Linked DNA regions of Astyanax mexicanus. The protein of the gene in region 1 interacts with the protein of each later gene in a pairwise test. Links are inferred from orthologs where the notes say so. Each region holds a gene or a part of one and is shown on either strand. Other genes may lie near its edges.

Region 1 (11,358 bases):
CTTCTTGCAGTCTTCCTGGGTTTTCTGTTGCACAGGGAGGGGCTTTAGAGGGATGTCAGGGTGATGCTGCTCGTAGTATTTCCGAGTGAACTCATCACAGTCGTACAGAAGGAATCGCTTACCCATGAGCCTCAGCTCCTCACCTACTCGAAAGTTCTTTGGAGAATAAAACTCCTGAACATCTTGTGGAGACACTTCCAGAACACAGCTGGGGAATGGCTCTAATAAAAAGAAAATGTTAGTAAAAATGAGAATGAAAAAAGTTTTCTTAGATACTGTCTCTGTTAAAAAGTTGACTGGATTGGACTAACTGGACCCTGTGGCAGAAATTATAAATGGTCTATTATTTTCCTTAAACATGGAATTTAAAGTTCTGTCCATAGAACCTTCTTTCTTATTCAGTGTTTTTCTAATAGTTGACTCACAAGCAAAGGCTTCCTTTATTAAGCAAGTAAAGCACCAGTAAAGCCTATTTTCCCAATCTCATTTCCTTAAATGAAACTCCTTTGATAATTAGCTTTAAACGAAATCAACACAGGGGTTCACTTACTTTTTCTAGCCTGTAATTTAGATATTTCTTCATAGTGTATATAATGTTTCACTCCCTAAATAAAACCAATGAACAGTTCAACTGCTTTTCAGGGTTCTTGCTGCATTTTAAGTCAAATTTAATGCTTTTAAGACCTTTTAAAGACCTCAATAAATATAATTTAAGGCCCAACATTTAGACATAACTTAGAAAGTATTATAAATAAAGTAAAAAATAACTTAAATAATTGATTGTATTGAAAATTAAAACTTAAAATTTCCCATTTGTTATACATTTTCTTTTACAATTTTGTTCCATTGTGATTAAGAACATGTTCGCATGTTAGCTTGCTCGCCGCTAATGTTAGCTAGCTCTCTGCTAACCCTAGTTTTCTCCCCGGTAACGTAGCTAACTCGCCGCTAACATTAGTATGTTAGCTAGCTCGCTGCTAATGTTAACTCCGCTAACCTTAGTTCTCTCCCTGTTAACGTTAGCTAGCTTGCCGTCGATGTTAGCTAGCTCTACACTAACCTTAGTTCTCTCCACAGTAACATTAGCTAGCTTGCTGTTAATGTTTGCTTGCTCTACGCTAATCTTAGTTCTCTCCACAGTAACATTAGCTAGCTTGCTGTTAATGTTAGCTAGCTCTACGCTAACCTTAGGTCTCTCCAAAGTAACAATTTAGAATATAAATGAAATTGAGAACATGAAATTCTTTACATTTAGGGTGAGAAAGTCTTTATCTGGGTGTTCATATGACTTACGGCAGACTTCTTTAATGTCTTTAGGTATTTTCTGTCTGTGCAGAAGCACAGGAACTGTGTCTCTGCCACTGTTGGACTCCTGAACTATGCGAATCTCCACTGAATCGTCAACCAGGTAATAGTGCACTATCACTTCAAGCTTCTCTCCATACAGAGAGTCAGAGTCATCCCAAACAGCGAAGAACCGCAGCACCTACGCACACAAGCACAAATTCACACATATGGTGCATATTTCTTATTTTTCAACCTGCTACTACTTAAAAAAAGTCGTTTCCACGACCAGGACACTTTTAATTGATTTTACATTACTGAAAACTGATTGCTGTTCCCAGTTATTGTTATAAAAGGGAGACCAGCAAGAGTTTTAACATATTTCTATTCTCTTTATAAGTTTTAGTGATTAACAGTAGTGTGTGTATCTCTCAAATATAATGTGTGTGGGTTACCTTGCGATCCATGGTTAGAAACTGTTTGAATCTGTCATAGTTTGTTGAAGAAATGTCAGGGAGCTGGGGTTGAATCTGTCGGCTTGAGTGTGGGTCACCAGGGATCTGCTCAGGGTCGTTTAGAACTATCCCCTGACTCTCCATGAACTCCTACAAACACATACACACAGATATACAGATATACACATAAGTAATCAGATGGCTTGGAGGATCACATTACCACAGCAAAAAAATCCCAGTGCTAAATGTGGGTAAGGATTGTTTATGGTCGGAGTTTGATTTAGGATTAGTTTGCTTAGGGTTAAGTTTATGATTAGGCTTCCTATTAGTAAGATTGTTTTTAAGGTGTTTGTAAGTGTTTGGTTAGTTTTTGGATTACTATGTTTAGGATTTTAGATTATATGGTTATTTTACATTCATAAATAATCAGATGGCTTAAACAATCACATTACCACAGCAAAAAAATCTCAGTGCTAAAATGTGGGTTAGGATTAGGGTCACTATTTTTATTTTTATGGTCAGGGTTTGATTTAGGATTAGTTTGGTTAGGGTTAAGTTTAGGGTTAGGCTTCCCATTAGTAAAAATGTTTTTAGGGTTAGGTTAGGTTTTGGATTTTAAATATTATGGTTATTTTTGGAGTTTTTGTTTAGGTTTAGAGTTCATTTGGTTATGGTTAGGGTGAGTATGATTATAGTTTAGAGTTAATACTTGGCGTGAGGTTTGGAATTAATATTTTTAAGGTTTATGTTGTTTACTGTGGCTATAGGGTTAAGAATAATGGATAGTTAAGGTCATGGCAAGAAAGAAGTTTTAGGTTTAGGGTTAGTATAGTTATGGCCATGGTAGTTTTACATGGTAGCAAAACTAACAATGATAATTTACTTATAGTAAAAACAAGTATGCATAAGTGTGTACCTGGGTGAAGGGGTCACAGTTTGTGATTCTGTACACAGTGTTATACACAATCATGTCCATAGCAAGGTTGAAGTCCTTCCAGTGGTAGTGCTCCCCGGGCTGGTTTTTGGGCAGTCGGTGACGTTTGATCTGTTTGATTTCCTTTTCATTTGTGTTTTTCAACTTTGGCTTCATCACACAAATGCTGTCATCCTCCAGGTAGTAGTAGATCACTACAGGCTGCACATAGAAATGCTCGTTTGGAGAATGTAGCACTTCTTCCTTGTAATAACCATAAAAACGCAGCACCTAGTGGTAGAGAACATACAATTCAAAGTTATGGTCCATCTGGTTTAAAAAATAGTTCAAATAGTTTTAAAAACACACAACTTCCAGTAGGTTTTGCACTTGAGCAATATTTAATATATCATAAAAAAGACTCTGAGTAACAGAGTAACAGATTTCCAGCGATACAGTAGTTTACATTAAAAACAGCATGTCATACTATTCCATAATTGTCACAAGAGACATATACCTATAGTAATACTATATTATTGTTATAACAAACACTGCTCATTATACTCCCTCTCCTTTTGAACCAATATTGTGCAAATTAGCCAGATTGACCTATCAGATTGTAGATTGTTTCCCATCGTCTACATGTTGAAGGTTCAACACTGGAATGAGTAGGAGATATAGTTTGAATAATGTATTTAAAACATAGCATGTTTCCAGTGAGCACTGACTGATATGTGATGACCATGGATGTCTGGTTTTGGGTCAGCCTGGACTGACCGAAATTAGCTTAAAATATATACGCTTTTTTCACTTTTTAACCAAATTATGGATACAATTTAAAGTAACTTTTTTAACTTCTAATTTTAAGAACCACAAAGCTAAAGAGCCTTATCCCATCTCCTTACCTTCTTGTCATAAGCCACAAAAGCTGGTATAAAGTCCCGCGGGGGGCTGCGAGTGGGGGTGCCGTAGGTGAGGGTGGGGATCTGACTGGACAGCTGCTTCATCTCGTTTTGAAGGATGTTCTCTGAGAGCAGGGGATCCTGGCCTATTCCCGCTGTGGGCCTAAGAGGCAGCGCGTAGCCGTTCTTATAGGACAGAGTTTGTGGTCTGTGGAAGGCTGATTTCTGAGGAATGGGCCAGAGTGAGAATTGAAGATAGAATGCAAACAATCACATCTGCTACAATTAAAAATTGTGGGCAATATGGTAATATTTATTGATATAATGATTTATTCTATCAAAATGTGATTGTCGCTATATAAAATTAAATTAATGAAATTACAGACATGTTTCTGTACAATTTGATTTAGACCAAATGTATATTAATTAATTTAGCACAACAAATAGATTTATTAAAATTATAACAATATTTGTATTTACCGTTTTTCCATTTATTTTTTTTTTTCTGGACAAAAAGTATTTTTTGTCCAGAAAAAAAAAACTCTATCCTGGTAAGCAAGCTGAATAACCAGCCCTTGACCAGCGTAGTGTAGGTTACAAAACTGATTGGCCCCTGAAGTGCCCTTGTCCTGTCACTCATCTGTAAGATTGAAGGTAGATTCAATTCCATGCTCAAACACTACATAAACAGTGTCATTAAAGTTTATGTAGGAAAGAAGTTCTGAACTGACTTTGTAAAAATAAAATTTTTTTTATATATATATTTTTTCTTATATGCTGTGTGTGTTTGGGAGTATTTTTTATGTGCAGCCAAAATGAGGGTTTCTATTTCGTGTAGATATTATACGATTTTTATTTTTAAGAGATTTATACAAGAGGGTCAGAAGGAATTTACAGGTGAAATCTTAAACATGCCACTCAAATACTGCAAATGAATTACTGAATTCCTAGGACACTGTGACAGAAGAAACTAAATATTTCTATATTTATTCATTTTCTATATTTTACTCTATTCTATATTTTCACACAAAGAAATATTATTAAATTAAAGCCAATCTCCTTCGACTTTCTTATCGATTGTTCCAACCATTTAACGTTAACCATTCAAATGCTTTAATCAACTAGCTAATGGTTTTACGCTCTTATTTCTTGAACAAAATGTTAAAATACAGGTTATAAAACTCTTGGGGTTTCTGTCACATCCGGACTCTAGCCTTACAATATTATAGTCATGTTCCTACAGTAAGAAAAAAAAACACGAATGAGCTGCTCACTATACTTGGTATCAATATTCAGAAGTGGTATTTAGATATATCTAAGATTTAAACACATTTAAAATATGATATGAAACAATAACAGCCCACAATATTTCCCAGGGCTAGTAGACATATTTATTAGTTAACGTTATTTAAAACAGGTCTCTCACCGTTGTGTCTCGAAAGCTGTTCCCAGGCAGGAAAGGAAGACCGTGTGTGGTGCTGACAGACATTTTATGGGACTTCTTCTTCACAAATTTACAAGTTAACCGCCTCTTTTCTAAGGATGTAAACTGGATTAAAGTGTGGATTAAATCGCTGTGTGAACTCGCCTCCTCTGGGACCACAGCGGACCTGCGGTCTGATACAGGACGTTTGTTTATTAGCTCTGGTATCCCGTGGCAACCGTGGGTCCCACTGAGCATGTGCACAGTATTATATTTTTATTTATTATTTAGTCCCTCAAACATTTACTCTGTAGTAAAACACAGTTAAATCTGTAACACAGCTTTTTTACACACATATAACAAAGCTTAGTTGAACTGTGCGCTCGTGTGCAGGAATGCAGGTTACCGTGTTGGGTTTGTGTGTGTAATAATGTGCAGTATACATGTGACCGGCAGATGTCGCTCCACACCAAATAATAAGCACAACAGCATCAACACAGTCCTGTAGAGTTCAGTCTGAAGTTTATTCCAAGCACAGGGATTAGGGTAAAGCTGGGTTAATGCAGGGAAGCAGAGCAGGTAGAGTACAAAAACACAGTTTGTGTGGTCCTTGAATTTAAATTCACCATCCTAAGATATCCTGAACACTATAATTCTATGAAAAACGTGTCCAGCACTCGGGTTGAAACAGAAAATATTACAGCAAAGTCGGACAAGGCAAGGAAAAATCTGTGTTTTAAACACAGGGAAACAAGTGAGACCATTGTGTAAAACCAATACTTTACTCTTTGTATTTATTTCTTGTTGCTGGAAAACTTTATGGCATTCCTGGTGCATAACTTCAAGCAGTTCAGCTTGGTTTGATGGCTTGTGATAATCCATTTTCCCCTTGATTATATTCCAGATGTTTTCAATTTGGTAAAATCAAAGAAACCCATAATTTTATGATATCTCTTATTTTGTTCCAGAGCTATACATTCCTCTTTGAATAAATCAGTAATATATCAGCAATATATCATTTGGAATGAATATATACATATACACTTGTCAGACACATTGAAGTATACCCTGCACTGTACTACATGGCCATAACACCTTGCACAGTTGTTTCAAAATTTCAGCATCATTTTATCACCATAAACAAAGGCATTGAGAAGTTGGTGTGAAATTGGGCTACTTTACACAGGTGGTGATGAAAATCCAGGGTCCAAATGACTCCAACACAAATGCAGACATTTTAATAGCTACACAAACTCTCTGATGCATGTCAGTGCATCGTGTTGCACTCATAGTCAGTGTGATAATTTCTGACCCTGTAAGTTTCTCTAGAATCAAGTGTTTCACACCAAATCACTCTAAACGTCTATGTTTATTTCTTCGCCATTTATTTATGCAGAAATTTTTAAACATCTTTAAAACGGACTGGAGGGGACTGTAACAAATTAAAAAAAAAAGGATTGCATCAGCATAGCCTAATCAATCAATAAATAAATCACTGATTGACATGATTGCATTTATATTGGTTTCATAAACAATAAAACCACCAATGATGAATTAACTTACTAAAACTAAATGAACTAAGAGTTAATTCAACAGCAGCAGTTGTATGGTGTTTAATGTCCCATGTTCTAAATAAGGCACTCAACTTCTCTGCATAATAAAAGCCTGTTTAACATGTAAAAACACTAAAGGCTTCAACCTCTTTGAGGTTTACACTTCCGGATATTTCCTGCGGACACTTTTTCAGCAAAGTACATCCTGTATTTTTTTTGTTTTAAAAATAAAAAATAGTATCATTTTACACAGAAACACTTGGATTACATCCCTGAGCTATCACATGAATGCTGCCACAGTATAAAAATATTTCATAATAACCATTCAGGAAAACAAAAACAATAGGAAAAAACTATTAAATATTCAAAATATATTTTATAAGGGCTGAGATGAATTCCAAGCATTTTTTGTTCATCTATTTTTCCTCTTTTTTTTCTCAGGTAAAGTTCAAATACATCACGCGAGCCAAAGGTCGTATTTATGAGCAGTCTTCAGACCTGGTCAGTTTCCTTGATCTTGTCCTGATACCCATCCTGACAGGCAGAAGGAAAGGATCAATCAAGAGTGCTGGAAGTGTTTAGAGCTTATTCCATCTTTCAGAGCTGCCTCAAACTCCTATATGCTGCCAAAAAAAAAATCATCCTACAGCTGGGACAATTAGCACCCCCAAAATATGGACTGCAACTCCCAGGAGCCTAAGCATCCTATAAGTTCAGGAAAAGAGTTGTTGGTGGTCGTATTTACATGGTGTTGGACCACACTGGGGTTGAAATGTCACGCTTACCAGGCTGAGGAGCTTATTCTCACCGCAAAGGCCTGGAGGTGCCAATCATTGACACACACACACACACACACAGCCCAGAGTCCAGCTGAAATAGGCCAATACAGTCTGTGTTGTAGTTTTCTGCAAGTCCTTTCGAAAAACTACAACCCCCAGCTATGGCCAACCAGAAGCAAAATAAATCACAGCCTGGGCAGTGGAGGAGTATATGTTAGGGCTGCAACCAGTAGTTGTTTTGAATATCATTTATTAATCTATTTGCTTTAAAGACTAATCAAACCTGTATGTTTTCTTTGTTTTCTTCCTAGTCTGTGCAAGTTGCAAATCATTATTTTAACGGTGAAACAACAGAAGCCATATTGCCCCAGTAGTGTACTGCATTCTGTTAGAATGCACCATATAAAGATTATAGATATCCAGAAATGTTTCAGAATGACTGCATGGACCATATGAATGTCATAGATTGTTATAGAGTGCTTTTAAAATGGCATAGCAGTAGTCAACCTGCCCCCTGCATTTATATATAATATATAATTTAATATAATCTGCATTGCATTTCAAAAGTCAGAATGACTGTGTGGATCATATATAAACATTATAGAGCAAACCACACTACAGAGGCCACTACAGTGGTGTGATAGTGGTTTGCAGTCTGAATTAAAAAGCATTATAGAGCAGTTTAAAATGGCATTAGAGAAACCATAGCACTTAACGCTTCCAATGGTGTATTTAAATCGATCAGAATGAGCTTGTGGATCATATTTATGATTTTTATACAACTTAATGGAGCTTTTTAAAGTAAAATTAGAGAAGCTATATCACCCCTACACTTCCTGTAGTGTACTACAGTCTGTCAGAATGAATGAATGTATCATATGGCCACTATAGAACATTTTATAGAATTTTCCCTATCACTCCCCGCACATCTTGTTGTGTTTGTCTTATTTTAGCATAATTGACTAATAGCTGCAGCCCTACTGTGTGTATTTCCATGCCACTGAGATACGTCCGTTAATAGTATCGGTTGAGGCTTCGTGTGCCCGGTATGTCCGGCTGTCCATTCATCCAGATCTCGCGGATGATTCTCTCTCTTTCCTCCAGCCGTTGTGCTCTCTCCAGCTCCTCGGCGGAGGTGAAAACGTTGGTGTTAAGCGTGCGCTCAAAGCGCCTGTGTCGTCGCGCCGACAGGTCTGAGCCTGAGTCCCAGTCTGAGTCCGAGCCGCTGCTGCCGCTGTCCGACTCGACCGGCCGCGGACGCTTCTTGCTGACTGTCCGATTCCGCCTGCAGTCCGTCCGACAGGAAATGTGCACCACCAGAGCGAAGAGTGTGAGGAACAGGCCCGCACACACACCGCACATGAAATACAGAGCACAGCGCTCTGGGTGCTCTGTGGACACGCACAAAATAAACACAGGATTAGCTTGGTCAATTCATTAATCACATTAAGCCCATCCATAGCAGTTTTCCACAAAAACTCTACTATAGCAATACCTTCAACACATTCAGCAGACTACTCTAGACAACGCTCGCCTGGATAAATCAATCAGCAGCATAAATAAAAAAAAGCAGCATCAAAGTGAAGCTCCACTGTAACAAGAACCCACAAACTGTCTGGAGGAGAGTGTGAGGCGTCAGTCGTGAAATAGCTGACCACTAACAGCATATACAGCTCATATACAGCTAAAAAATGAAGAGACCACTTCAGTTTCTGAATCAGTTTCTCGGATTTTGCTATTTATAGGTATTTGTTTGAGTAAAATGAACATTGTGGTTTTATTCTATAAATTACGGACAACATTCCTCCCAAATTCAAAATAAAAATAGTGTCATTTAGAGCATTTGTTTGCAGAAAATGAGAAATGGCTAAAATAACAAAAAAGATACAGAGCTTTCAGACCTCAAATAATGCGAAGAAAACAAGTTCAGAAATCCATATTTGGTGAAATAACCCAGGGTTTTTAGGTACAGTTTTCATGCATCTTGGCATGTTCTCCTCCACCAGTCTTACACACTGCTTTTGGATAGCTTTATGCCACTCCTGGTGCAAAAAGTCAAGCAGTTCAGCCTAGTTTGATGGCTTGCGATCATCCATCTTCCTCTTGATTATATTCCAGAGGTTTTCATTTTGGTAAAATCAAAGAAACTCATTATTTTAAATTGGTCTCTTATTTTTTTGTCCAGAGCTGTATATGATAAATATGACATGTATAGTTGTGAAGTGAAACATGTAGCCACTGCTGTTTTAATTGAAAGTTGATTTTGAAGGCTGGACACAGCTCCATATACTGAATAATGCTACAAATTTATTGAAAGTAATACATCCACTGTTAATACATTGACATGTTCGTGTAGTCAGAGTATGGTAATGTGTGACTCTTACCTGTAATGTAGGTGTAAGCTGCGAGAGCGTTGCTGATCAGAGACATCTCTGTGCTGGACGTCGTGGCAACAGTGATAACAGTAGGATCCTGGTCACTAGGTGACGATGTCTCTTGCTCTTGATTTTCCTCTTCTCTATCTCTTTCAGTTTCTCTTAGTCCGTTTTCAGAAGGAATCTTTTCCTCCAAATAAGGACCCGACTTCCCTCTCTTTGACTTCCCTGTAAACGCACACAAACACACGCAAATTCTGATTTAATCTGAATACTGCTGTTGCGTAATAAGGAGTTCAGACAGTCTCCTCCTGACGGTTTGTTTGTTGTTTGTTTGTTGGCGAGTCTTTCATTTGCAAAACTCTCTTTGGGTTTCATTTCATGCTGACAGGCCACGTATCAGGGGGCATCTAACTATGTGAGTGTGTGGGTGTGTTAGTGCGTGTGTGTAGACCAAGCAAACAGCCCATTAGATGATTAAGAGTAAACAGAGAGTGTGCCTTATAGTTATAACATCTCAATTAGCTGAGCCTGGCATTGCACCATTCTGAGGCTTTTCACATCCTAGAGCTTTTTATATCTATACAACTTTTCACATCTAAAGACTTTTCACATCTTCACAACATATTGAGAATTTACAAATCTTGAAAGTTTTTACATCATTAGACTCTTTTTTCACCATAATAAACTTTTCTTATACCGAGACTTTTAACATCACATACTGAGATTTTTACACCTTAAGCCTCCTCAAATCTTCACTTCTTGAGGATAACCTGTATTCTGTATTGTTACAGAAGGGATCAAGCACTTTCACCTGAATTTTAACGCCCCTAGCTCCCACTTGGTTAAAAAGAGAACACTGACCACAGAACCTATCATCAGACAGAAAGGACAGCTGAAATCCCTGGGGTCTCTTTTCTCTTTATCATGGACAATTAATTACAGAACATCCTGTATCTGCAAAGCTACCAGCTTCTTTTCAGTTATGTTGTCTGGCAGAAGGTACCCAAACACCCAGGCTATCACTGCCAGACTCTGTAACAGCTTCTTCCCCCATGCCACTGAACTCAACACCCTTCTCACATTATTCACACATTAACACTGTTCTACCACTGTTTAGTGCTTTTTGTAAAAAGTATTAAATTAATACATTTTTACTATATTTAAAACCTTGTTCTAAGGTACACCATTGCTCCAGAAGCACATACTTTTCTTCCATTGTGTTTCTGTAAACTAATTAAAGGACAATACAAAACTTAATTTTACTGGACCAGTACTAAATGTGGTTGTGCAAGGCCCACACAACCACCTTTTGGTACCAATTTTAAGTCGTTGCAATGGAAAATATAAATCTAATAATAAATGGAATAAATATCATCATTGTGTAATTATGTAATCACTTATACATAGTATTGCAAAATGTCAAGGAGCCTACACTGCTAACTGCTTTCCATAGGTCCTATTCCCTTTGTCCAACATTGATTTTATTAAACACTTAAAATAGATCACTGTGTTTAATACATCTATATAATATAGAGTTTTGCATTTTCAACTGAATTAATGAAATAAAGTAACTTTACAATGATATTCAATTTTACTTAGATGCACTAGTAGAAGTACTAAGGTATTCAGCATGTTTTGTAGTGTGTTTAAGTACTGCTAGTAGTTTATTGT
Region 2 (10,210 bases), on another chromosome or scaffold:
ACTTTGCCGCATGAGCCGGTGCAAGATCCTGTTGAAATATGAAGTCTTCTTCGCCGAACTGTTCCTCAACAGTCGGAATCAGGAACGTTTCCAGAACATCTTGATATACGGCAGCATTGACAGTCTTCTTGAGGAAGCAGAGTTTCCCTACACCTCGAGCGGACATGCATCCCCAGACCATAACGCTCTGGGGAAACTTGCCGGATCTTTTCACGCACTCGTGGTTGTAGGTTTCGCCACCACGACGCCAGACACGAGGACCTTGGTCACCGAAGGAGATGCAGAAGCGTGATTCGTCACTGAAGACCACTTTCTGCCAGTCTTCAGCAGTCCACTCGCCGTGTTCTTTGGTCCACTTCAACCGTTTCTCCATTTGTTTCTTGTTCAGCATCGGTTTTACTGCTGGAACGCAAGATTTGAAGCCGAGTTCGCGCAGACGACGGTAAGTGGTTGATCTGGAGACGTCAGCGCCGGTCTGCTTGTTCCACAAGTCGGTGAGCTCGGAAGTGGACTTGAACCGGTTGCTGACTGCGATCTTTCTCAGCTGCTTGTTGTCGCGAGCAGAAGTTTTTCGGACGCCGGAACAGTTGGTGCGCTTGCTGCAGTTTTTCTTGAGAGCTTTGCAGACAGAAGACTGGCTGATGCCGAGCTGCTCAGCAATTTTAGTTTGGGTCAAGCCTTGTTGGCGAAGGGCTTGAATTTGAGCCACTATTCCGGTTGAGAGGTCACGCTGCTTACCCATGATTGATTTTACAACTTAGAAATTCTACTCAACCCTGACTTTATACTGCACAGTGAACACTCTTCACAGAAAACAAAAATTCGAGCATTTATTCTAATTCAATGAAACGGTTTCTCCATTATTTTAATTCAATAAAACAACAGTGTCACAGTTAAATGGCCTAAATGGGCCTTTTGGAAAGCTCAGCTGAGCAAATTTTCCAGGTAACAAGTTCTGTGATTAGTCTAACGAGTAGGACAGGTGCGGTGAACACCTGATTTGCTTTCTGCACAAAAAATGCATTCAAAGAATTTCATGATTGCACTATTTCAAATTATTCTAATTCGTTGACCAGCACCTGTATATATATTCTAGTTTCTTCAAAATAGCCACCCTTTGCTCTGATTACTGCTTTGCACACTCTTGGCATCATTCTCTCAATGAGCTTTAAGAGGTGGTCACCTGAAATGGTTTTCCAACAGTCTTGAAGAAAGGAGTTCCCAGAGGTGTTTAGCACTTGTTGGTCCTTTGCCTTCTTCACTCTGTGGTCCAGCTCACCCCAAACCATCTGGATTGGGTTCAGGTCCGGTGACTGTGGAGGCCAGGTCTTTTTTTGTTCAGTACATAAAACTCCACATGTGTTCATTCATAGTTTTGATGCCTTCAGTAAGAATCTACAATCTAAATAGTCATCAAAATAAAGAAAACGCATGGAATGAGAAGGTGTGTCCAAACTTTGGGCCTGCTCTGCATATTATTGCTATGGCTCCATAAGTATGACCAAAAGGCTCCTGGGAAGAAGTCTTCATAGGACAGTCTGACCAAGGACCCGCCCTACTCCGACTACCTGCAGTCTAAGTTTTTGAAGGCAGTTTGTGTCTCTTTCAGCACATCAGAACTCTTATCGCCCCCTCCTCCCACATCTGTTATGTAATGGTGGTCACTTGTAATTTGCAGTTTCCAAATGGCAAACGTCTGATCTAAAAGACTTTCCCATGACAACTGTTGATCAAAATCATGTAGCTAACACCTCAGCGAACTCTGAATAATTTAACGCATTTACCATTTATAGAAAATCTCGACACAGCTCATAATAACTGTGCACTATAATTATCATCCAAATCCCAAATAAAGACTTAAGGAAGAGGCTTTTGGCATTGTGAGAAACATGTACTTTCTCACTAAAATGACAATAGTGATGAAATAATTTGTATTCAGTCATATTTGTCCATGTTAAGTTAAAATTTCCGTCTGCAGTTGAATAACAGGATTAAATTCATGCTGTTAAGAAATTGTGCCTTTTGACAGATGTAGACGAATATGATTCATCCTGATGAGCCATTACTCATAAGTATTCAACGCTAATAAATTCTAAGACAGCAGTGATATATGTTGATGCTAAAAAGAGCCATTTTAAACATAAATGATAGTAGATGAGTCTAATGAAAAAGCAGTACGTGCCTCTCATACTAGTGAATAAAAAAAGAAAACGGACACATTTAGTACATAGACACACGAATATTCACTCATCCAAACATATGAGCCAGTTTATTCACTGCCTTATTTAATGTAAATAAGCTCATTTAACATAAATCATAAAGTAAGAGATGGACCAATCAGTGCTTTTGAGGGCTATATTGAACACCATACGTCAAAATTTAATCAAAAGCTGGGCTGAATGCCATATTAATCATTCCAGGGAAACTTGGTGTTGCTCTACTGCCATTACACATGGCTTCGCTCACATTCCAATACATTGTATCTCAAGATGGAATTTAAAAAGCCAGTGATACCAGCAGCTGTAATCCTTTGTAACCATTCTTTTTTTAAAGGCATCCTTCATAAAATCCACTTTTTCTTGTTCTTTGTGAAATACTATAGGTTTCTCTGAGTCTCATCCTCAAACTCCATTGGCTGCAGTAGCTAATAAAAGAAAACGTTTAGAAAAACGAGTCAATCAGGAAAAGCATTGTGTCTACTTCAACCCGTGAATTAGTATCCATGGCCTCGCCCACCTCTGCTTGCGACCGCCCACAGGCAGCTGAATATGTTTAGAACAGTTCTTATTACAATAGTTAAAAGTAAAAATCCACAGATTTTCTTTCTTTCTGGACCTGGGCCCACCTCTGTATAAGTAACTAGGTTTACATAGGATCTCCGGTAGATTTTGCTTTTTATACAGACTCTAAGATTACGTCAGTGGCTACACTGCACAGAAGACCATCTTGCAAAGAACAGCTCACATGGCATTCATTCATACTAGCGACCACAACTAGACATTTTAAAATGAATGAAAAAAAAAACGATGGAACTAGACCTTTAAAAGTAAAACTGTGCTTTCTGCAGATCATTTAGATTCCTGTATTCATGTATGAATGAGAATGACTCTGAAGCAATGTTATCAAGCAATTATCGGAAGGTCAATGGTTGGTGTTAGTGTCACTAGCTATAGGTCACAGCAAGTTCAACACTTCTGACACTTAATCGTGACTGGCTGGCAACGTCAGATTTAGCTTATTTTGTGTGTTAGCAAGCTGATAAACAGATAAACACAGAACAAAATTAATTGTTTAATCTTCCTATTCAGACTTTTCACAATATGAAGTAATACTAGTTTAGTAATATTTTAGATTTCAGACCATGCTCACATTATACAGTCACCCTTTGGTTGTGCATTTAGATGACCTAGAATTCAGTTTAATGGTCATATTCCGTGGGACAAGGTTTTTAAGTGGTTTGTTATTTAAGAATCATAATTTAGTGCAAGATCTGATCCTCTAGACTCAGCAAACATGTTCAATGTGCCATCACTCATTTCTGAACATCTTGAACTTGTGGATCAGTCAAATAATGCTAAGAATTTTACTCCGTTCCCTCCATGAGACATTTCATACAATGTACAAATATGTGAGTTTTAGTCAGATACAGTAAAACCATCAGACTAATGGATTTACAATATGGAGCACAATACAACACTGGCTTTCAGACTTGAATGGGATCCTGCAGAGTTGTGTGTGCGTGTGTGTGTGTGTGTGTGTGTGCCATAATTCCATCTAGTGATAGAACAAGGAACTACTTGTTGAAAGAGGAGTAGGATGACTCCAAGTGGGTCAGCAGGCTAAGCGCTGTCACTATGATCAGGAGATTGCCGGTTCGAATCTTGTTCATGTAGCTTGCCATTGGCTACCGGAGCCCTGAGAGAGCACGATTGGCCTTGCCCTCACGGGTGGGTAGATGACGCTCTCTCGCTCTCTCCTCACATCACTCCAAAGGGTGATGTCTGCAGCACAGGGCGTCTGTGAGCTGATGTATCGTTATGAAATGTAATGTAATGTATCGAGTCGCTACACTTTCCTCCGAGTACGCTGTGATGCTACTCGGCAATGCTGCATCAGCAGCAGTTCGAAAAGAGACGGTGGTTGACTTCACCTGTATCGGAGGAGGCATGTGCTAGTCTTCATCCTCCTGGTGTTGGGGCATTTTTAGTGCTAGGGAGAGTCCTAATGAGTGGGTTGGGCAATTGGCTGTGTAAATTGGGGAGAAAATGGGGAAAATTTTGAAGTAAAATTATAAAAAAAAAAAAAAAAAGAAAGAGCAGTATGAAACAGAGCGGCTGTAGTCAAAAATCATCTGATCAGGTCTTAGGATCAGTCATTTTAGTAACATAGATAGATCTCCAATCCCATTCTTGAATTAAAAAAAAAAAAAAAAATTATTTATTTTAAACACTAGAAAACTAGAATGGGATGACTGCACCACAGCATCTATTAAAATGTACAAAAAAAATCACTTTCAGAATTTAAGTAAAGATGCTTAAAGGCACACAATACCTGTTCTTCCTGCATTCTCTCTGTTAAATATACAAAAAACTAATTTTTAATGTTTATGATGCACAAAGCAGTAAAGAAAGCAAGAGTACGCAGCTGATTTACAAATGAGCACAAAATCCCTTTGTATTTAAAATACAATAACATTGGCTAAACCACTGAAATTATACCCAGCTATATTTTGTTCATAAGATAAATAAAAGTTTTTTCTAAACAATTTGTATTTGTTCTTCAGGAAATGTTGCCACAATGTAAAAACCAACTGCCAGATTAAAAGTATGTCCAAAAAAAAAAAGAAAAACAGCAAAAATGGAGATAAGGCGATGATACACAACAGCCACCATGTTGACACCAATGAGCTCAGCTCTCCTGGCCTGGGGCAAGCAGATCACGCTGGACGACTGACAGGTTGTCATTGCTGACAGCTCACCGTGATGTCTCAGATGTCTGACCAACAGTGCCCAAGCCATATTAGCACAACAGTGTACACACTGGCATGTCTCCTCAGAGACAAAGACACTTAGAAACACTGCATCGGCTGCCTGTCACTGTCAGCCCACATTCCCAAGGCACTATATTAAGAATACCAAGTCTTTTTTTCCTGGGAGTTTAATACTGGTCACACGGTACTGTGTTGTGTTTATCCTTTATATACCGTTATTCAGAGATGGTCTGCGGTCAATTACGCACAAACCACAAGCATATCCTCACTAATCAAAAGCTCGGGCTTAACTCATGCTCCCACAGCTGGTAATTAGGTCACTTCTTACCACAGATTGATGCAGAGATCACAAAGACAAGGCAGCCTTTCTCTTTTAAAGCCTTTCAAAGGGAGGGAAGCACTGACTGCATTCATGCCTTCTGAAAGATGAGAAACAAGTCATTTACATAAACCCATCAATTCGCCGTCTTCTTTCTGGCTCTCGTTTATTAATAAACCTGCCAACGCTCACCACGCCACACAATGGTGGCAGATGGACCTCTGAAGCAAAGATTTTGACAAGAGAGAACTTTAACATGTGTAGACTTTTCACATTAACACTAATGCATCCCACTGGCTCAGTTTAGGCAGAGTGCATTAAGTGGGGTCCCAGTGATTTGGCCCACTCCTGTGAGCTCACGTGCTGTCTCCCTGCTCATGAGGCCCTTTCACCAGAGCAGAGCGGCGCTAATTGCTGAAGCAAAGCGGAGGAGCATGCTGGAGTGGAGAGGTGATTAAATCCAGCCTTTAAAGTGGAGGGCAGCGAGCGATGCACTCTCTCTCCCCTTCTCCAGCCCCCTTCCACTGACGCAGGCGAGCCCACCCCTAACACCCCTCCTCCACCTCCTCCGCCCCCTCCTCCTCCTCCTCCTGTGAGCGTGCGAGCGCTCGTGTGTGTGTGTGTGTGTGTGTGTGTAGGGCTGTGAAAGGCTCCAGCACTGCTGGCAGTGCTTAGTGCTCCCGTGCTCAATGCCAGCGCCGCTCAGCTGAGCTCCTATTCGTTCACTCGCCCGCACACATACACACACCCCTCCCCACCATCACATCCCCCCCCACCCCCACCCGCGCTCAGACAGGCTGGGCTCGAGGAACGGCATGGAATGGAATCTCAGAAGGATGGAGAGCGAACTGAGGCAGATCAATCCGGACTTGCTGCAGCCCAGCAAGAGCTTTAAGAAGCCTTCCTCGAGCACAATCACCATCAACGTGGGGGGCTACCTGTATGCTGCGCAGCGCCAAACACTGGCAAAGCACCCAGGCTCCCTGCTGGAGGAGATGGTCACCGGCAAGAGACCCGTGCAGCACATCGACTCTATGGGGAACACCTTCATCGACCGCGATGGCCCCATCTTTCGCCACGTGCTGAACTTCCTGCGGACAGGTGAGCTCATCCTGCCGGACGACTTCAAGGAGGTAGCGCTCCTGCGCCGCGAGGCTGACTTTTACCGACTCAGCGAGCTGTCCCAAGCCGTGCAGGACTGGGAGCAGCAACAGGCCACCCATCGCGAACCCGCCTTTCTGGAGGTGACAGACAGCCACGAGCGCTCCCAGGGCCTCAAGGTTTACTGCAGTGACACAGGCTTCATCGAGAAGGTGAAGGGGCGCCTGGTCCAGATCTCAAAAAGCCGGCTGGACGGCTTCCCCGAGGAGTTCGAGGTGTCGTCCAACGTCATCCAGTTCCGACACTTCATCAAGTCAGAGCAGGGCTCCCGGCTGGTGCTGAAGGAGGACAGCACATTCCTGTGCACGCTGGAGACGCTCAAGCTGGAGACGGTGATGATGGCACTGAGAGGAGGCTTCCGGCTGCTCACCTGCCTGGACAGCAGCCGGGGATCAGTGGTGCAGTGTGAGGCTCTGCACTTTGTCAAGTGACCCAACCAGGACTGATGCTGAGAACCACATGACCCGCCGAGACCTACCAACACCAACACCACCACCGCTGCCACTGCCTCCCATCCCATATTGACGTCCCCCTGCCACCAGCACATACTGCACAGGACCTGCGCTGGAACACAAAAGGGACATTCCACAAGTAACACTGCTTCTGCGTTCCTCCAGCTCCAGCTACCAACTGCCTTTACAAGTGAAAAAGAGGTGTTATGTATTGTGTTTTCTTTTGGTATACCATGCATAGTCCCTCATTTTAACAAAAGCTGGCTTTTTTAAAAGGAAGAGGAATAGCACATGGACATGGCCTCTGAACTGCAGAGTGTTCTACCCTCTGACCTCTTCCCAGAATCTCTTCAGATAAGTGGAAATGGCAACAGGTGCATTTATACAACTACTGTGATTTCTGAGCAACAGGCTGAAATACTACCTAATGCATGTGCAAATTCTGTTCGCCTCTGGGAGCAAATGTTGTGATTGCTGGTCTTGTGTAAAAGTGAAGCTGACAGTAAAATGTTATTGTAAAATATGTCAATGTTTTACAAAATAAACATTATAAAAGCTACCTTCTGCTACATGACTTATTTAAAAGACATTTCCATAAAGCTGTAGGTTTGTTACATTACCTGATCAATTGTCTATCTGTGATGAGAATGATCATAACAGCCATTAGCAAGATTGTGTAATGTACTTTAATGAAGAAACATGATTCAATCCAGTGTGCACACAGCTACAACTCATTTCCTTGGTAACAGTGAAGGCAGCTTGTAACAGGAACTACATTGTGCCCTAAATTAGTCTTTGCAATATTCTGCCTGACCTAAAAATAGAGAACCACAATTCAATAATTGTTAAATATCTCCTCAAGCATTGATCCTAATTTAAAACAGGGATGATGTTAGTGTGTGAAGCCCATTAAGATGTATTAAGATTTGCCTTTCATTCGGCACATGTGCTCTGCTTTCAGTTCTTTTTTTTTTATTATAAATACTTTAACTATAAATGTAAGCAACATGTAAAGGTAAAATCTACGTTGTACATCACAGATACATGTGGCTCATCTATCATTTATGGTGGCTCCTTTTATTTCCCCTCCAACTTGTGAAATACAGGCTGTGAGATAATGCTACTGAAAAGAGTAAAATTTATGAAATCTCTCTTATGTATTAATTTAAAAACTGTCAGTATTCAGCATTCACCTAAAAAAAAAAGAAAACTGAAAAATGCCACACTAAATGCCACACTGATGATTCAGTTTTATACACAAAGCTAAACTCAGCCACCACCCAAAGTCAGTCATTTTTAAATGAGGCAACATTGGACATATGATCACACCCACAAATGGAGCAGACAGCATCTCCACACAAAACAATCCATCTGCTTCCATATAATCTGTCCTGCTCCCTTCTCCCTCTAATGATTCATAATAATTACTTGACACAAGGAAATGGAATCAGTCCCAACCCCACAGTTTGTTGTGAGAACATCAAACCGAGTTCCATTTTTAATTGCAGATAAGGGTCATTCATTTTTGATGAGAGACTGTGGGGCTTATTAGCCCCTTATCCGTGACTGATGATGTAGCTCTAACCCACAGGCAGCGGGCAGCTAACACCTTGTGGGGTGGAGTGTGGGGGGGTTGAACGCATTTATTTCAAATGGAGAGCCCATTATCTGCTCAAATATTCATGGCTTGGTCTCACATCCATTTGCTGCCAAGCGAACGAGACTCCTACATTACAACAAAAGCCTGCTGATGCTCATCAAGTGTTCCAGGGGAGGAATGACTAATATTGCTCCTCTCCAATATCATAATTGGTCAAGCTAACATGTGAATTCGAGATGGCACATGCCCTCGATAGACCAGTTTCACAACTACAGCTCTGACTGTTCAGAAAGAGTGAGAAACGAGAATAAATCAGACCCTGGCTCATTCACTTTTACCAAATAAAGTAAATGCTAGCCATCGTGTTCCTGAACTGAACGGTAAGTAAAATTCATTAATTCACTTGCATTCATGTCGTTTTAATCAATACAAAGAAACTCAACAGCCCACATCTGAAGCACAGGCCATTCACAAAATGCAAAATCGTAGATCCAGGCAACAGGTAGCTCTTGTTTCAGAGAGTTTAGAATTTTTTAATTTGTCTCAGAATTGTATGCTGTATCATATTATATCATTGTTGAATGCCTATTTAGTTTACCTTGCCCACACACTCACACACACACACACACACACACACACACACACACACACACACACACACACACACACACACACACACACAAACACACACACACACACACACACAATTAATCAGAGATAGCATAATCTGCAATCCACCCAGTCAACTAGAGGTGGGCCATATGATATTTTATCATATTGTGATAAATTTTCTTATTGTGTTCACAATATGATTTTTTAAGCATATCAAGAATATAATCAGTGCATAGAAAACACTGCACTGTATGCCCCCGTTCTGTCACAAAAAGCTTGTTAAGCAGGGCTGTGAATGGGCGAGAACTTGGCGATGCAATACACTTCACGATACAGGAGGTACAAGTCAATACATTGCAATATACTGTGATGCAGTACGTACTGCATTTTATTGCAATCGTCCAAATTTGGGAAATCTCTCAAAGTAAAAAAAAAAACTATGCAATCAGAGCAGTGGGATCTAACAACAAAGTACAACATTGTTCTCTAGTGGTCAGAGTTTAAACACAACACAAAATAAACCAGTGTCTGCCACCAGTGGCGCAAAAAGGGGGTATGCAGCCTATGCGACGCATAGAGGCGCTGCACTAGAGGGGGCGCCAAATCAAAGCCAAATAAATTTGCGGAGCGCGGTGAAAGTAATGACAGGACGCTGATGATTTTAAAACGCATCTCAACAAGCTGACGATATAAATGCGCAGCAAAGCAGCCCCAGCCCATCACACTACCACCACCATGTTTTACATTCAGTATGATGTTCTGTTTCTGAAATCGTTAGCTTAACGTCAGATGAAATGGGACACAAACCTTTCAAAAAGTTCTACTTTTTTGGGGGGGAGCATCAAAATGTTTTTTGGCAAATGTGAGATGGCCTTTTCTGTACTTTTTGGTCAGCAATGTTTTTTTAGTAATAAGGCTTGGTTGTGGCTAGTAAAATTTACCTTAGATTTCCAAAAAGTGTGATTAATCACAGTTAATTTAATGGGGGGACCAACACTTTTTCCGAAAGAGCTAGATTGATTTCAATAGTTTTTCCCCCCTTTCTTTCCCTAATAAAGAAATATAAAATTTAAAAG
Region 3 (10,772 bases), on another chromosome or scaffold:
ACAAACTTTACACTCACCAGATTTGACCACTTCATCTGATGCTTTACTCTTTACTAAAATACGGATTTTTAGATAAAGGCCAGATGGGTGAAAGAATTCCTGAAAAAAACAAAGGAAAACCAAATGTTACCTCAATCTTTGCACAGATGGTTTACTTACAGACTGTAAATATACAGACTCTGCGATTACTGTAACTTGCCTCCTGGAAATTTATGTTCACAGAAAGTTAAACTGCAACCCTAATTGGCCATCTAGCACAATGTACATTTTTTTTTTTTTATAACTTTTATTAGCTGGATGTATTTTTTTTTACCAAGGACGATGGCTTGCTAATAACCATTAGGCCAATCAACACAAAACAAATATTATCTCTAGAAAATATATGCTGTTTCGAAAAACCATACCTTATTAGCCAGGCTCACAGCATGAAGAGCTTTCTCCTGGTACTTCTGACAGTCTAATTCCAAATAGACAGTAGCAAGGAGTCTCAAGACTTTGGCCTAAAAAGAGAAAATATTGCAATTATCCCATAATTAGTTTCAATGACAATTTGAACTGAACAGCAAATAGAGCTTACTTGCATTTCTGGCCCAGGGGAGTACTTGGGATTCATCTTCCCTATGTCATAGCTCTGACTAAAACAAAACACAGCAAATTAGTGTATGAGCCTGACCATTTTTATAATTCATGACAAGCAAATATTTTTGTATTGCGCAGATTCATATCAAAGTAAATAAAGACACTACTACTAACGACAATAGGAACACACAGATAAGAGGCTGCTGCTTGCTAAAATGAACCATGTGGGGATGGGAAGGGACACACACATTGCTTTTTCTATGGTTACTGATCAAAGTTGCAAATGTACGGTACAGGATAACATAAGTCTCACCTGAGCCAAAAAGAGCTTTCTTCAAGCTTCTTTTGATTATATGTTTCCACTCCGAAGTTGTAGCAGATGAGAGACAAATAGCCAGTCTAAAAGAAATTAAGCTGCTTTAATTACTGTAAAACAATTATTCGTACAAATAAAAACGCAAAGACAAAACGCAAACAAGAAATAATAACATGAAAATAAATCGTATACCTCCTTAGGAAGCCTAAGAAGCATCTCTTTACACCGCTGCATGCAGGACACTGCCTCCTGGTGATTCTCTTGAGCAACTGCCTAAAAGTCAGTCACGCCAAGTGCATTTATGTAAAATATATTCTAAATGTATTATAATATTATTTTAAATTGTTTGCTAGGATTATTACAACTCCAGTCATTCTCTACTACTAAATGCATTACATATAAGCACCATCTTACAGATTCTGCTTGATAAGAGAGAACACGCAGAAGATCTTTCTCTACATCTCCTTTCGGTGTGTTGGTATCAGAAACACCAGCTCCATGGGATGTTAGTCTGCAGTAAAGAGTCTCCAGACTCTGTGAAATCATACAAAACATTTATTATTACTGTACTGGAGGTTATATTTAGGTCAACAACAAACTCAAATCAAAATACAATCAAACCAGATTGTTCTATTAATTTAATTGCACTGTTTCACAAGAAAAAATAATTTGTGCAATGTCATTGTCTGACAATATTCTATATATCTATATCTTTATATCTATATCTATATAGTTGACATGAAGTTCACACTTACACTGACTGCAAGTTTTAAAAAGTCATCGGCAAGCTTAGGGTTTTTACAATCAAGCCATGTTCTCCCTGTCTTACTGGCCATCTGCGACACATAAAAATACAACACACACACACACACACCATAAAGAACTAGCTGAAGTGCAGTGGAAATGTTGCATTAAAAAATTAGACTAAACTAAAAGGAAATATAATTAGTGTTTTCAGAAAAAGTTCTGAATTTCAAAAATAATATTAAATGAAGTGAGAACACAGACAAACCATAATCTGTTTGCGAATAACATTCTCAGGTGGTTCCTCGGTTTCACACACATACAGGAGTTTGCAGGCCACAAGACGCACTGAATCACACAAAATATATCATAACATGTAAGGTAAAATGTCATTAAAGCATCTGTAAACTTACAGAAATAAAGACTGCCTGTAAGAAAATAACATGACATTTTTATAAAACAAAAACCTTTGGCTTTTTGTTGCTCACTAATAACAGAACCAATATTTTTGGTCACAGCCCAGTTCCACAACTGAATAGCACATTCTTCAACCTGCAAATAAAAAACATGTTTATTATTTTTGTTTTGAGCTACTTTCTAAAAATGAGAAACAAGATAATCATGTCCCATTGGGGTCTGTGTAAGGTTTATCAATTTATCAATTTTCAGATTTTTTTATACATGTTTTTCCAATTATCTAGTTTTTCATTCACAGTCAGCATTTCAGCTGAAAAAAACGTTATTGTTCTTCTAATTGTTTTTTTTTTGCCCTATTTTGGTACATAAGTAGGTTGGATTACAGCATCAGACTGGGGGGGGGGATACCAGTAAAACCCCATCTCTATAAGTTAATGTCAGAGAAGATAACAATGTACTTTTTATTAAAAATGCCTTTCTGTTCTTACATATTGTGGTAAACTGTGCCATATCCAGTAATTTGGTAACCTTTATCTCTTTATATTTCACAAGACATCATAACTTACTTCAAATTATTGTCGATATAAAGTCCACTTTTAAAATTCCGTGGATTTTCAGCTTTAGACTTATGATCTAGCTAAATAAAATTTGTTCTCAAATAGACCGGCACCTCTGTATCTTGAATTTTAGTGGGTTTCTCAAGCGACTGAACTTTTTCAAACAGCGTCTCAATCAAGTCGTTCACACTGTCATCACTCTGTCTGTTAAGAAGACTCTCTGCCAGACCTAAGAGAGAAAAACAGATTATATTGTTGGTAGTTAGGTAGTTCATACAGCACGACATGTTTGGCTGTTTATTTTGGTTGAATTGAGTTGTCTACATTACCAATGTAACTATAATTGGTTTCTCTAGTCATAGCTTATATATTGTGGTAGGTTTACTAATGATTACTACATAACTAAGTAACTAACTTTATGTACCTTAATGTAGCTAGCTACATTTGAAGGCAAACACTTTTTTCCAGCCTTTTTCTTTTACTGGAATAATATTTAAGCGTGGGTTAACTCTACATTAATTTAAGTAGTTCGCTATCTAGTAATTGCTCCACCACTAGTACAAAGTAGCTAAGTCAAGATAACTAGTTAGCTGACTAACAAATCCTTCAGCACAAGTTAGATGGTAAGCTAGCTAGTAATTCCTTCACCACTAGTTAAAACAAGTCAGTTAGCTTTTTTCCAAGTTAGAGGCCTCAAGGGATGCTTTTTAATTTTACTGTAATAATTTTCTTTATCGTTTAGCGTGGGTATCTGTACTTTAACTTAAGTAGTTTTCTAGTTAGTGATTCCTCCAACACTAGTTAAAAGTAGATTAGTTAAGGTAACTAGTAAGATAGCTAACTAGTAAGTTAGCTAATTCCTCCACCACAAATTAGTTGGCAAGCTTGCACTTCCTCCACCACTAGTTAAAATTGTCAATTAGCAAACTAGCTAGCAATTCTTCCACCACTATTTAAAACAAAGTTGGTTAGCTACGTATTTCTCCACTGCTATACAAAACTAAACTAGTACTTTAAAACTAAAAAGTGAACTAGTTAACCTAGCTAGTAATTTTTTTTACCAATAGTTAAAACAGTCAGTTAATGCTAGCTAGATAAAAGTCGTATTTCCTCCACCAACAGTTAAATTTAATCAGTTGGATAGAAATTCCTCGACCACTAGTTAAAACAAAGTTACTAAGCTAGGAATTTCCCCACCACTAGTTAAAACTAAGTTAGTTAACCTAGCTATTAATTTATCCACCACTAATTAAAATTGTCAGTTAATGCTTGCCAGTAATTCATCCACCAATAGTTAGTTAAATTTAATTTTACTTAAAATTGTCAGTTAGGGCTAGCTAGCTAAAGCTAGTAAGTTATTTCCTCCGCCAATAGTTAAATTTAAGTCAGATAGCTAGTAGTTAATTCCTCAACCACTAGTTACAACAAAGTTAGTTAGCTAAGAATTTCCAGACCACTAGTTAAAATTAAGTTAGTTAACCCAGTTAGTAATTCCTCCACCGCTAGTTATAATTGTCAGTGAATGTTAGCTAGCTAGAAATTCATCTACCACTAATTAAAACTAAAGTTAAGTTAGATATCCAGGAATTTCTTCACCACTAGTTAAAATTATTATCAACCAATAGATAACTTAGTGTAATTTAGGTCAGTTACTAGTTAGCTAAGCTAGGCTAGCTAGTAATTTCTGGACCAATAGGTTAGTTAACTACCTAGCTAGATAGTATTTCCACCACCAATAGTTAAATTTAATTCAGATAGCTAGTAGTTAATTCCTCAACCACTATTTAAAACAAAGTTAGTTAGCTAGGAATTTTCCCACCACTAGTTAAAACCAAGTTAGTTAACCTAGCTATTAATTTATCCACCACTAATTAGAATTGTCAGTTAATGCTTGCCAGTAATTGATCCACCAATTTTCAGTTAATGCTAGCTATCTATTAAACCTAGTAAGTTATTTCCTCCACCTATAGTTAAATTTAAGTCAGATAGCTAGTAGTTAATTCCACTAGTTAAAATTAAGTTAGTTAACCCAGTTAGTAATTCCACCACTAGTTACAATTGTCAGTGAATGTTAGCTAGCTAGTAATTTATCTACCACTAATTAAAACTGAGGTTAAGTTAGATATCCAGGAATTTCTTCACCACTAGTTAAAATTATTATCAACCAATAGATAACTTAGTGTAATTTAGGTCAGTTACTAGCTAGCTAAGCTAGGCTAGCTAGTAATTTCTGGACCAATAGGGTTAGTTTACTACGTTACCTAGCTAGATAGTATTTCCACCACCAATAGTTAAGTCAGATAGCTAGCTAGCTAAGTTAGTTATTCTTTGCTAGTTAAAACTAAGTTAGTCAGCTAAAGAAATAAAACACAAGAACTACATAGTTAGTAAGTTAGCTCTAAATTTCTCCACCACTAGTTAAAATTAAGCCAGTTAGGTTAACTAGAATTAGCTAGCTAGCTAGCGGCTAACAAGCTAACGCTAACTCACAATAATTACCTCAGATAAGCAAACGGGGATTTTAGTCTTTTGAAGACAATTCTTACCTTTCACATTAATAAGAACGTCCTCCATCTCAGTTTTACAATGTTTATACCTTTATAACATGTATTTGAACCCAGGCAACCTCGTATCTATACTGTTTTTAGGACAAAACCTCGTTAAAATCCCGTCTTCTCTCACAAAAACTCACACAACTAATCAGCTAACGTGTTGCGCGAGCCTAAAGGGACAGTGAAGACATAAAGCCTGTAACGTTAGAATTATAAAGACAGGGTTTTTTTTACAAACATAAATTGTAATAAATATGATAAAAAGTAAATAATAATAATAATAATAAAAAAGTAAAGATAAATAAATAAAACAAATAAATCAAAATAGAATTGAGTTAAACAATACAGGGGAATTTCCAATTACTTTGAAAATAATGTTGGTAAAGTTTTTTTTCTCCAGAAATTTAAAATTAGCAACATCAGAGCTAATTTACAACACACACATTATACATTATTATTGACTATTTGTAACACAAAGCTTTCACTATTATTAAATCAGACAAAATTAGACAGTTTTTTATGGATTTTCTGATTACATGAGGAAGACCAGGATATAAAATTATTTGATACAAAGATGGAATATATGGGTCTACCTGTTTGTTCCTTATTTTCATGCATATAGTGCATTGCTAAGAAAATAATTAAATTGCTTGAAAATATATTCCTTTTTTTAATTCCTCATAATTTTTAAAACATATATTTTAAAAAAATGTTTACATTTATTATGTGTAAAATTCTGAATAAATCTAAAGACATTTGCCATAGTCTTTACATGTGCTTATAAAGGCAAAAATATATTTAGTAAATGGCGGTAAATCACAAAATGACACCAATACATTTGGTAAATATGCTTATAAGAAATACCTTTGACATTATTTAGTAGTAATATTTCCAACAAATATTCTTCCCCTGTAAGACAGCAAGCTTATTTACTGGAGGTGCAGTCCTGCTATATGACCACTAGATGGTGTCTTACACAAGACATATGAATCACTTAATAAAAGATTCATAGACAGAAAGAGCAAATTACTATTATAATTATTATAATTTTGCTGTATTGTAAAGTTTTGCTGTATTGCAAATATTATTTGTTAATAAGAAAAAAATCAAACATAATCCTTTATTAGTTCTTTATTAGACATACAAAGGAAAAAGTGATTACAAACTAAGAATTAAGATATAAACCTTAGTAGGTACGTTTCCTAAACATGATACTTTGATTTAAATGGAAAATCTGCATTTAAAATGCTGTTTAGTTCAAGACATAGCTTAATTGCTGTCTGGGATTCCCCTGTAAATAAATAAAAAAATAAACATTGATGAAGAATTTTACAAAAACTGCATATGACAAAACAAACAACGGGTGTTTAAAACAAGAAAAACAGTAATTCACCAGTTTTGCACGATTCTTTCTAAATAAAGGCATATTGACCAATCATGGTCTATTCTAAGCCACATTTAACATAAAGGTTTTTGTTGCTACAGCAGACATCTTTGTTTTAACAGGGAGCGAGGTTTATTGTTGACCTGAAGGAAAGAGCTCAAGCTGCGCACACAGAACTACTCGGACCCTCTTATTGTTTTCCGCACACTAGATTAAAAAAGAAACGTCTTAAAAGCCCAGGCCTTTCAGCCCTTGGTTTCCAGTAATTGTTCCCACTCGAGTCTTATCTAGCTGCCCTCCTGGCCCACGGAGAATGTGCACCCTTCTGAAGACTTGCCTGTAAAAGAAAAAAGAAAGAAAGAAATGTATATGAGTTGTGATGTGAAATAAAGTCCTCGGGTTTACTTTAGAATGGAATAAAGTAACAAATAGGACAAAAGAGCTATTTTAAAAACCTATTTCATCATTTTATGCATCATTTACTTCATAAAACAAGACAGGTTGGGACAGTATGAATAATAAAAAAAGTGCTGAGTTTCTTACATTTAGGTTTTTTGTCATTTGTTTTATTGGAGACAGAAAGCTAAATATTTTGTTTAATTTGTTAATTTACAACTTTTGTACATCAATTCATGCATTGCAGGCCTGCAACACATTCCAAAAAAAGTTGGGATGAAAAATCAACACTCAAAAGATTCTCTATTCTCTATTCTCTATTTAGGACAGGTCCGGTCTGCAGGCAGGCCAGAACAGTACCCATACCTTCTTGTTCTGAAGCCATACTTTTGCAGTGTGTGCAACATATGGTTTTGCATGGTCTTGTTGAAGAAGAAATACATAGAGGTCTTCTCTGGAGAAGATGTCATCATAAGGCAGCATATGTTGCTCAAAGATCTCCATTAACTACATTTCTACATTAATGCTGCATTGCAGAGGTGTACTGATCAAAACCCAAACCATGACAGACCCTGGCTTCTGGCCTTGTTTCTGATAAAAGTCTGGATGGTCCTTGGATTGCATCCATTTCTTCACACAAAAAAATAGAGGTACGATATAAGTCTTTTCTTTTGCTCAAAGTGCACTTTTTATCATTTCATAATTGTGTCCTATTAAGGTATAATATTGGTCTTTACAGGGTCAGATGTTCCCTCTGAAGCATAAAGTCTTTCCTAACAGCAGGAAGTACAGATTTGTACCATTTAACCAGCTAAAAGGTACATTTGGTATTCTGTATCACTGTACTAATAAATAATATATATTTTAATTACACATTTTTCATTTTTAAAGCCAGACAATTTTGGACAATCAATTCTCGACACATATTCAGTTGATGATAATGTTTATAATCTTTATAATCTTTACTGGTACCAAAAACATGGGTCCAAAAAAGACTATTACTAAAAGGTATTCTGTTGTACCTTAATATAAGGTACAGCCCCAGCGACAAGCTTTGTACTTTTTTGAGTGTTCCAAAAAAGATCTGGAGGTTTCCACTGTGAGATGATCAATCCCAGAAGCCTCATAGCCCAGAGAAGTTAACACATTTGTTAATATAAGGCTTTGATTTGAACTGTAATGTTTTAAGAGAGGAGACACACCCAGTGTAAGTCAGTGAATCAGAACTCTTATGCCTGACAATCTTATGAACAACCCCTCCACTAAAGTATATCCATGGATATGTCCCTATTTGTGATAAGGTGAACTTGCTGGACGTTTCAAAATCATGGGAGGTTCCCAAATGTTTTTAGGCCTAGATATAGCATAGCTGTGTGTCCTGTTTTCCAAAGTTAAAAATAAAGCAGCAAATATTTGTCCTGTGGATATTTACCTCGATAGCACGAGTAAGACAATGCCTGTTTACCTTTGTACCCAGATATTTTAGGGAGGTGCAGCTATGTTTATCTGTTTATCTCGAGAAGGACATTTGGGGAAAACAGTCATGTGTAAAGTCACTTGTTTTAACACTATATCAGATCAACTGGCAGTGTTTTTAGTCTTTAGTATGTTCTTTGGACCTGAAATAAACAATGAACATCAGTAGTCAGTCATAGAATATGTTAGTTTTTTTCTCTCTGACCAAGCTAGACAGTTAAAGATAAGTAATAATAGAAGTAATATAAATAGAAATATATTAATTTTAGATTTATTTGAAATATATAATAGAAAAAAAAAACTGAAATTCCACGTAAATCAGTTGTAAATCCAATATTATTGATAGATAAAAGTAAAATTACAGAGATCTGGATTTTGAATTTAGATATGAATAATATTATTGCTACTAAATTTAAAACAAAACAATTTTAGATATCTAAAGTATATTATAGAGATCTAAAATTCCACATATCCTAAAGACACATGATCATAACTGCAGTATATTAAAGATATATTGACCTAGTCAGGATTCAGATAGATCAGATAGATCTGGACCTGGACTGAAACCTGGACCTGAGAATTACAGTGGAGATAAATGGTAATGATATAAATGGTAAAATATGACTAGAAAAACTAACATTATGGCTATATCATCCCAAAAATATGTCTAGTCAGAATGTCAGAATGGATTTATAGATACAGTACCATTCAAAATTTTGCACACTCTTTCTCACTAAATGTTTTCTTTTATTTCTTAAACAATTACTGTGTGTATACAGCTCTGGAAAAAATAAGAGACCTCTTCAATTTATGAATCAGTTTCTCTAATTTTGCTATTTATAGGTATAAGTTTGAGTAAAATGAACATTGTTGTTTTATTCTAGAAACTACAGACAACATTTCTCCCAAATTCCAAATGAAAATATTGTCATTTAGAGCATTTATTTGCAGAAAATGAGAAATGGCTGAAATAACAAAAAAGATGCAGAGCTTTCAGATCTCGAATAATGCAAAGAAAACAAGTTCATATTCATAAAGTTTTAAGAGTTCAGAAATCAATAAATATTTGGGGGAATAACCCTGTTTTTTAAACAGTTTTTATGCATCTTGGCATGTTCTCCTCCACCAGTCTTACACACTGCTTTTGGATAACTTTATGCCTTTACTCCTTGTGCAAAAATTCAAGCAGTTCAGCTTGGTTTGATGGCTTGTGATCATCCATCTTTCTCTTGATTATATTACAGAGGTTTTTAATTTGGTAAAATCAAAGAAACTCATCACTTTTTAACTGGTCTCTTATTTTCTCCAGAGCAGTATGTGATATTATTGATAGTAAATGATAAAAAACGCTTTACAGATGTTTTGAATGTGAAATTTACCAGTATAAACTCGTATTACTGGTTTGATTTGAGACTTAAAACGGATTGCTATGATAACACTGAGTGTGTGAGAGTGCCACAGGCTCCCAGTCAGGGCTCAGTGACGTTGCCTCTTCCTTTCAGTATAAAACCCTGGAGCAGGATGGGAGCAGGAGGAGAGCTGCTGCTGCTGCGCTTAGTTAATAGCCTGCTGCCGTCTGTGCAGCTCATTCCCCTGCTTGGAGTCGCAGTGGAGGATATGTGAGACGAACCCTGAGAATCCTGGACTGTTTTTTTGCTTGTTTTTCCTACTTTTCTTATTTTTTGTAATATTCTGATTCGCCAGGAGGAGAATAAAACCACATAGCACCTGCCCAGAGGCGCAGACTGGCTCCTACCCCTTACCTGAAGGAGCGTAAGAGCTGAAAAAGTGTCTGGACACCATGGAATACAAACCTTAACCTTGAAAACAGGCTGTAAGCTACCAACAAGAAGTTCTGTGGCTGCAGGAGCAGCTTATAGCTGCGGTTCATCCATCCACTGTTGGAGGTTATCTCTTCTTCTTGCTGCTGCTGATAGATATAGATAGGCTAGAGGGACCTGGGCTACTGGGTTACTTTGGCTTCTGACTGATTGACTGACTTTTCGTTGGAGTAACATTAGGCTACGGAGGGACGGAATGATTCCCAGAAGATCGGCAGCCTTCATAGCCCTGCTTTTCCAGTGCTTTACCTCCACAAACGGTGAGTCCACTTCTCTGGTTTTCTCTTCTCTCTGCCTGGTTGCTCTGCTGATTGATGCTGGTTCAGCTTCACTCTGAAAACATCTGAATCTGAGACTGATGTCACAAATTTGTATTTAAAGTCATTAAATATTAATTTGTGAAGAGTATTTTAGCTAAATATATATTTTTGTTTCATTTTTGGGCGCTTGTGTGGCTTTAATTCTGGTTGGATGCTCTCTCTCTCTGGAGTTGGCTCAGTCTCTTATTAT

What was found.
Region 2: the proteins of efhc1 (region 1) and kctd4 interact in binary tests that used the Homo sapiens proteins (3 or more experiments, as listed by UniProt). The two-hybrid records come from large-scale screens. The link is inferred for Astyanax mexicanus from reciprocal best matches to the Homo sapiens genes EFHC1 and KCTD4.
Region 3: the proteins of efhc1 (region 1) and tex11 interact in binary tests that used the Homo sapiens proteins (3 or more experiments, as listed by UniProt). The two-hybrid records come from large-scale screens. The link is inferred for Astyanax mexicanus from reciprocal best matches to the Homo sapiens genes EFHC1 and TEX11.

Annotation. Positions count from the first base shown.
Region 1 is NC_064408.1:42,213,513-42,224,870, reverse strand, and holds the start of efhc1 (EF-hand domain-containing protein 1), read right to left. Parts: upstream 5,388-11,358; 5' UTR 5,236-5,387; coding exon 4,981-5,235; intron 3,780-4,980; coding exon 3,558-3,779; intron 2,944-3,557; coding exon 2,656-2,943; intron 1,890-2,655; coding exon 1,740-1,889; intron 1,487-1,739; coding exon 1,294-1,486; intron 222-1,293; coding exon 1-221. Other genes in the region: protein eva-1 homolog C, read right to left, coding at 8,324-8,700, 9,694-9,912. UniProt on the Homo sapiens protein: Microtubule inner protein (MIP) part of the dynein-decorated doublet microtubules (DMTs) in cilia axoneme, which is required for motile cilia beating.
Region 2 is NC_064418.1:28,509,473-28,519,682, reverse strand, and holds kctd4 (BTB/POZ domain-containing protein KCTD4), read left to right. Parts: upstream 1-5,995; 5' UTR 5,996-6,124; coding exon 6,125-6,901; 3' UTR 6,902-7,481; downstream 7,482-10,210.
Region 3 is NC_064417.1:48,323,178-48,333,949, reverse strand, and holds the start of tex11 (testis-expressed protein 11), read right to left. Parts: upstream 5,358-10,772; 5' UTR 5,188-5,357; coding exon 5,160-5,187; intron 2,843-5,159; coding exon 2,727-2,842; exon of another isoform or gene 2,623-2,726; intron 2,192-2,622; coding exon 2,107-2,191; intron 1,988-2,106; coding exon 1,908-1,987; intron 1,732-1,907; coding exon 1,651-1,731; intron 1,430-1,650; coding exon 1,310-1,429; intron 1,169-1,309; coding exon 1,088-1,168; intron 979-1,087; coding exon 893-978; intron 636-892; coding exon 578-635; intron 501-577; coding exon 405-500; intron 100-404; coding exon 18-99; intron 1-17. Other genes in the region: kdrl (vascular endothelial growth factor receptor kdr-like), read left to right, coding at 10,459-10,522. UniProt on the Homo sapiens protein: Regulator of crossing-over during meiosis. Involved in initiation and/or maintenance of chromosome synapsis and formation of crossovers.